Linked DNA regions of Saccharomyces cerevisiae S288C. Changing the gene in region 2 together with the main gene of any one other region gives a genetic interaction. Each region holds a gene or a part of one and is shown on either strand. Other genes may lie near its edges.

Region 1 (4,087 bases), on a different chromosome or scaffold from region 2:
AATAGGCTACAATCACCATATTAGCTGAAAACCATATAGTGGCGGCATTGAGTATCGAGTCATCATTTTTTTCATCTTCTGTAACTGGTTCAATACCTTTCGTCTCAGCATTTAAAGCAGCTGCAATCCTATTGAAAAAGGACGGCTTATTATCAATGAATTCGTTGGTTCTATGCAATTCTACACCCTCATAGTATACATCAGCGGCGGAAGATTTTGTGTCCAGAGCTCCAGATTCGAGGTCCCTTAGTTCACTCCCCGCATCTTTTATATCGACCATTGACATGGCTAACTTTTCTGGCATACTTTTCTTCGATATTTTAGTCACCTTCTGAAACACCCTCCATTTCAATCTGACAAGCGTATCTTATAACAAACAATTTGGTTATCATGTTATATATTTGTCTGGTTTACAAATCACCAGTGCAAAAACAGACTACATTTATGTCATCTGCATGCATTAGGCTTTCAACAGACTAGAAATCAAAATTTATCAACTAAACAGAAATAATGCAACGTCTCATAAAGTATTTACTGGCGATCGGAGTAACTCTTAGAACCACAGTCACGTGATATGCTTATCAGAATTGCGTTATCAACTCAAATGAATGAGCCGTGATAATTTAATTAACATACATGCTATTTTTTAATGATTTGCATACTAGAGCCATTTATGTTACATTACAAAGACTAAAATAGCGAAACATTTAAATGAACTTTCGTTAACGACCAAAGTACTTGAGCTCAAAGGGTCTAGCAATGTTGTAAACTATAAATGCCCAACTTAGTCCTAACTCGAATCCAATATCACCACCGTAGTCTCCGATCAAACGGCTGATCTCGCCAACCCAATAAGTTTGGCACATACCCAACGCTACGCCAAAGGCACCAACAATTAAGGCAGCAGTACCTGCAATGCCGATAGGTAGACGTTCCCAACTATCCCAATCATCAACATTGTAAGCACTGAAGGAACGCCTATAAATAAAATGCTCTGAACATGCAATGGCAATATAAATAGCCAAATAATAACCTATGGAATCCATGAAGTAATTCATGAAGGTAGAAAAATAGTAGCAGGCAGGAATGGCAATACCCAGTGCGGCCGCATTGCCTAATAAAGTCCAAATAACTCTTGGGACTTTCGCAAGAGGTTCCCACGTGGCTTGCACCGATAAAGCAATAGTATACATGTTGGGAACATTATTAGCGATAGTGGACAGAGACAATAACACGCAACAGAACTGACCGAATCCGTGAACAGAATTAGGGACAAGAACGGCAAAAGTTAAACCACCTATGGAATTTTCGTCATAATACGTCTTCCAGGCTGGATCGCCGATAGCTGCCATTGCTACAGCTGCACCAAGTATCATAGTAAAATATAATGGTGTTGCTAACCCAACTACAAGCGAGAAAAAAATTTTATACTTGTTCGTTTTCCTTGGCATATAAACGGTATAGTCAGCCGCATATGTTGTCCAGCCTGCAGCAAACCCATAAACTGTTGATCCAAATGAAAGCACGTTACCTGCTGTAGTAGGACCAGATGTCCACTCCCCAAGGACAAATTTTTTAGACCTTGCCAAACGAGCAATTATTACCAAAAAAACGGCAAAATTTGGTACCCACGCCCATTTCTCGTAAGCATGAATGACTCCATAGCCGAAAAAAGTTACAATTACAGTAGCACCGATAATAACTATACAACCAGCCCAGAGAGGACATTGATGACCGGGGTTAACCATATTCAGGACTTGCGAGCTTGCTACGGTATTAACGATACCCCAACCGATACAGGCAATAAAATTGATGAAAGAGAAGATCCTGGCTGCGATATTGCCAACTAAATATCTAGACAAAATCATCTGTCTTAGGCCCAGCTCTGCACCGAAAACAGAAAAGAAAGCAACTGATACCAAGCCTAAGAGGTTAAAGAAAATAATAACGAAAACGCTTTGGCCGAAATTTAGATCAAACACCATAGGCCCTAGGGCGCCAATGGCATAAGCAGGCAGAACCATATTTGCTGAAAACCACATAGATGCAGCGTTCAGTATAGAATCATCAGTTTTTTCATCTTCTGTAATCGGTTCAATACCCTTTGTCTCGGCACTTAAACCAGCAGCAATTCTGTTCAAAAACGACAGTTTAGCTTCAACTAATTCTTCTGTTCCGTGCGATTCTACATCATCATAGAATTCATTTGTTGAAGGAGTCTTTGCATCGTGAGCTCGAGACTCAAGGTCTTTAAGTTCATATTTTAAGTATTGAGTGCCGTTCAGGGACATTTCGTGCGTTTGAGGCATATTTGTTAGCCCTTTTATAATATGGTAGGTTTTCCGAGCACACGCGCCTCAATGCTAATAATAGTGAAGTAACAAGCACTTTTAATGCTGTGTTTACGTTAGCACGGACTACAGAGTATCTGTTAAGAGGGACGTCTACGCCCTTATATATATACGTGTTACTTCTGACTAAAATTGCTTGGCAATACGATGAGTGAAAAAAAAAAGGCCTTATCGAATTTTTCTTTCCGTCACATAATGACGCCGGCACCTTTGCCCTTCTCGTATTCGTGATGAAAATAAGTTAGAATCGGTGAACGCAAAATGATAAGATTTCCAAAATGAAAACTCAGTTAGCAGTCAATTTTGACTGCTCCATATACAGTCTATCATGCGATAAGCTTGAATAAAATAATATGGTTTTTTTTTTTCTGTTCAATTTGATGAGGGATAAGCATTTTTTGTTGCTGTTGTATTTGAACGGGAATATAGCAACACCATAAAGTGCTGCTCAACATGTTTCTTATCTCTGAACAATAAAGTAGTCCAAACCGTAATTCAGAATATATCTTAATACCAAAGAATTACCTAAGAAAGTTACCATGCTTATTTCTTAGCAACCGTACGTTAACACATAAGATAATTACTACCTTTGAGAGAAACTGTGTATGTAAATATATCTACTTGCATATTACGCATTTCTACATGCCCGTAACTAGTGCTTGCGATTGAGCTTTTGCGTTGTTCCAAAACCTGTATAGTAAGTCCGCGTATCTCTGCAATTCATTGACTGATATCAAAAGTTCAAAATCACACAAAACTAGAAACTGCAGTTCCAAATGGTTGAGTTCTTGTAAAGATATCCCACCTACCCTTGAGTATCTTGAATTGCTATAGAAGAAATCGCTCAGAAACTTCGTACTGACAGTAATACCTGCTATGATTAATCTGTGAATATTATGTGAATCCATTACGAACATTTGAGGATGAGCCCTTGAATCCCTTTGAACTCCTGTATTTTCATCATCTGAATCGTCATTTTCATTATTTTCGTTACTGTTACATGCGGACATTTTGTCAGCGCCCCTGTTAGCTTTATCTAGAGAGCTTTCATTTGAGGGAGATTCATGTTTTGCAGTATTAGTTTTAGGGGTCGTAGTGACACTATTGCATCTCTTGGATATTCTATCAAAGTACACGAGGAGCGATAAAAATACATCATTCGTTGTGGGGCAATATTTCTGGATCCTCTGGAAATATTGGTCAAGACCAATTTGTGGTACGTGCTTCCCTCTAAACCCCAGAACGGGGCTTAAGTATTTCTTTTCATTGTCACTTAAAGCAAGACACCTACCATTCTCAATCTCTTGTGTCAAACTAGGATTTGTCGCTGCCGTCCTATCATTTGACTTAATAATTTTAGTTAGTAACGCTGTCAGCATTTTAAGAAGCTTGTCTGTGGGAAACTCTGCAATGTTCAAAGACGGGGTTACTTGTGAGTTGCTTGTGTCACCGTCGAGTATTTTGTCTTCCTGGGTGGATGATTGAACTGTATGTGTGCCTTGCACTTTCTCATTTAAATTATTTGTGTCGCTCAATTGCCTTTCGTTATTCTTTGGGAATCGTACTGGATAATATTTGTTAATTGTGTTCATATTTGAGCCATGTACCCTGTTATTCATTTCGACCCTAGCTTGGTTAGAAGCATCCTCATAGTTAAAAGATGATTCTGGTCTAATTCCCATTGATGAAGTAGATGATTGTGATTCTAAAGTCTCTTCAGAAGCTACCCTCGTCAC
Region 2 (3,748 bases):
CAGATATAGGCTTCCCTGGCTTTCCTTCGAAACGTTTGAAGTAGTAAGCGATAACCTATCCCTGAACACTTAACATTATATGGCTCTTTTCTGCAGCAGATACTTTTGGAGTCTTAAAAGCACAATGTTTGAGCCGGCCAGGCGCCCATAATTAGAAATAAAAACTGTTTATAGTGTAGATGATCAGTTGTGATTATGCTACTGTTACAATTAATGAAGTTGATTGCGATCTCTCCTTTTACTGTATCTTTAGTTCTGTTATTAACGACGAGCCAAATTCCAGAAAAACAGTAAGGGAGAAAGACTTTTCCTCTTTATTTGAACCGCTACCGTGAAGATCGTTTACTGCCAAATTTTGACAGCAGATTTTGTATATAGCTACCATATCAGCAGTTTCAATTATTTGATATTAATAAACCGCTCTTCTATTTTTTAAGAGATAACGAAAATTTTGCTTTACAAAATATTTAGCTAAGGTATAAATGTGCTATGGACGAATAGTGGAGAATACGCCAAAACAAGAACAAAAGGAGACCGGAAAACTTCTGCTCACAAATACTCATAATCACTCTTATTTCTTCTGTCCATAAGCTCTGGTGGCATAAGAACCATTCTGCACAATAATATCCTGTGGACGGTAATCAAACTTTTTGGAAAAGTAACTATTTAGGATGTTCTTTACTCCCTGAGCGTACCTCTTTTGAGCATCCAGAGATGTGCCACTGATATGAACAGTCATTGCGTTTCCCACGTGGTCCTTATTGTCCATAGTCCTCCAGGGATGGTCTTTTGGTGCTGGTTGCTTATCCCAGACATCACCACCATAGCCAGCCAATTTACCAGACTTGACTGCCTCGGCAACATCTTCTGCGACACAAATAGCACCTCTAGCGGTATTCACCAAGTATGCACCATCTTTCATGTGGGAAATAAGCTTTTTATTGAATAAACCCCTTGAGTCCTTGTGCAATGGACAGTTGATGGTAACAACATCTGACTGAGCAACCATATCCTCCAATTTCTCTACTCTCTGAACAATATCACCTCTGCCATTGAAAAGCTTGCTGGCCTCGTTCAATCTATTGATTGCTTCCGCAGGTAGTTCCTGGTAGTCGTAGTACAGTAACTTCTTCGGATTAAATGCGACCAATCTTTCCAGAACCCTATATCCAATTCTACCGGCACCTACCGTTGAAATTATTTTGTCTTCCAGATCATACTCATTTTTAGCCACGCCGGCAATATCCCACTCACCATTAATTGCTTGTTGATGACCACCATTATAGTTTCTTATCAAAACCAAAATTGTGGCCATAACGTGCTCTGCGACAGAAACGACGTTAGAACCAGTAACTTCGGTGACCGTGATTTTCCGTTCATTTGCAGCTTCTAAATCGACATGGTCTGAACCGACGCCAGCGGTTACACAGAGCTTCAGGTTAGGAGCTTCTGCAATCCTGTTTCTCGAGATGTAGGCGGGGAAAAAGGGCGTAGTAATGACAATTTCAGCGTCTTTCAACTCCCTGTCTACCGTTGAGGTTGGCTCAGGGTCCTTGTCAATGGTAGTAACCAACTCGTATCCCTGTTCTTCAATGAAATTTCTGATACCAAGTTCATTTTCAATACACCCCAATAACTTTTCCTGCTCTTCAGCATGCTTACCACCTTCGTAAAGAACCAGCAAAACCTTTCCCTTCGACATATTAATTTTCAGCTGTTATTTTGATTTGATTAGCGTTGCAATACTTGTAAATTGTTCCTGCTTAAAATGAATAAAAAAAGCACAATACAAGAATATGCATATTTTACGTAAATGATATATTAACTAAACTTTCCTCAGCAAGAACTCATTAAAAAAGACTCAATTTTGTGCCCTTTTATATGTTCTTTTTTTCAATGATTGACAGTGCAGAGTGATTTCTCCAACTTTTAGTTAACAGTGAATAATCCAAGAATAGTATATTCCGCATAACATCAAAATAGTTTTATTACTGGCATGTCTTTTTCATTCGGAGTTCTAGTATCGGTGCCTTCCTAGTAAGGAAATTCCCGATTATAAGGGAAAAAAAGAAAAGGGATAAGCCGCTTGGGCTGTTGGTCCAAACAGAATGTTTTAAACCATAGCCAAACAAGTGCAAAATAGAAAAGTTGGGGTTAAAACTCTCTTTCAAGCCTATCCTCGAGTGGTGACAAAATAGGTAATTTCCGACACTTTTTTCTGCTACTAAGCACCGTGAAAAGAGAACGTTTCGAGAGTACATTTCGTACTGAATGTTGTATAAACTCTATGCTTCTAAAGATTTATCCAAACCGTTGGAGCTTTCCCTTTATTTCTACATAGGTTTCGAAAACGGTCTCCTACGGAGCTTCTCCTTTTATGGCGATCTGTTTTTAAAGTGTTTTTTAGAAAACCATTAAACTCGAGGCTTGGTTTATTTTTGCCTTCGAGATAATTTTCTCTTTTCCTAAGAAATTTATGTTACGCCAACAAAGACAACTAATAAGGTCTCAGTTCCTCTTGATCGTTAGCGATAATGCTTTTTTTTTGCACTTGCGGAGTGTAAATATCTATAGAAAAATAAACCACTTGAACAAGGGGAGCTTCAAGAACCTTTATGCATATTATCGAAATTTTTAGAGAAAGGTTCACGATTCAAGCTTTGTTTACCAATGTGATGTATTACAGTGTTCATGTCACTTGCATTGACATTGTCTTTACACCACATTAAACACAAGTTAACAACCGTTCTCCGGGCAAAGCGAGACGATGCAGTAATCAGCGGCAATGAACTACGTATGTAAAAAAAAGATCGGGGTGTAAAAATTCTATGCCAAGAAAAAAATTAAAAACAAAATAAAAAAAAAAAGAAACTTGCGGCTCTTCACTCTTAAAAGACAAAAAGTATTAGGATGATAAAAAAAATTCATAAAAAAAAAAAATTCTATGGCCTCAGTTCTCGAAGAGCCCATTTATAATTGTTTACATAAATAATGAGATTCCACCGTCAAGGTACCGCAGCCACCGTAGGCGTACTGCTCATTGTGCTGCTTGGTTTCTGTTGGAAATTATCTGAATCTTATGGCATAGTGTCAACTGCCCTACCACACAAGCAACCTGCAACCAAAATCACAGACACACCTTCTATACGATGGGATAATTACCATGAGTTTGTCAGAGACATTGATTTTGATAACAGCACGGCTATCTTTAATTCCATTCGAGCTGCTTTAAGACAGTCTCCATCGGATATACATCCTGTCGGAGTATCTTATTTTCCCGCTGTAATTCCCAAAGGAACTTTAATGTACCATGCCGGATCAAAAGTGCCAACTACCTTCGAATGGCTGGCTATGGACCACGAATTCAGCTACTCTTTCGGCTTGAGGTCACCATCCTATGGGAGAAAATCTTTGGAAAGAAGGCATGGGAGGTTCGGCAATGGCACCCATGGTGATCATCCAAAAGGGCCACCACCACCACCACCACCAGACGAAAAAGATCGAGGTTCACAAAAAATGCTTACCTATAGAGCAGCACGGGACCTCAACAAATTTCTCTATCTTGATGGGGCTTCTGCTGCAAAAACTGACTCAGGAGAGATGGACACGCAGCTAATGTTGTCAAATGTTATTAAAGAGAAATTGAACCTTACAGATGATGGTGAAAACGAACGAATGGCCGAACGACTCTACGCTGCTAGAATATGCAAATGGGGGAAGCCATTCGGGCTTGACGGAATTATCAGGG

What was found.
Region 1: mutations in FDH1 (region 2) and FCY21 together harm fitness less than expected from each alone (positive genetic interaction), as found in Saccharomyces cerevisiae (one large-scale study listed by BioGRID).

What each region holds. Positions count from the first base shown.
Region 1 is NC_001137.3:272,789-276,875, reverse strand, and holds FCY21 (purine-cytosine permease), read right to left. Parts: upstream 2,310-4,087; coding exon 723-2,309; downstream 1-722. Other genes in the region: FCY22 (purine-cytosine permease), read right to left, coding at 1-304; PCL6 (Pcl6p), read right to left, coding at 2,990-4,087. UniProt on the Saccharomyces cerevisiae protein: Probable purine-cytosine permease.
Region 2 is NC_001147.6:1,071,222-1,074,969, forward strand, and holds FDH1 (formate dehydrogenase (NAD+)), read right to left. Parts: upstream 1,703-3,748; coding exon 572-1,702; downstream 1-571. Other genes in the region: YOR389W (uncharacterized protein), read left to right, coding at 2,992-3,748. UniProt on the Saccharomyces cerevisiae protein: Catalyzes the NAD(+)-dependent oxidation of formate to carbon dioxide. Formate oxidation is the final step in the methanol oxidation pathway in methylotrophic microorganisms.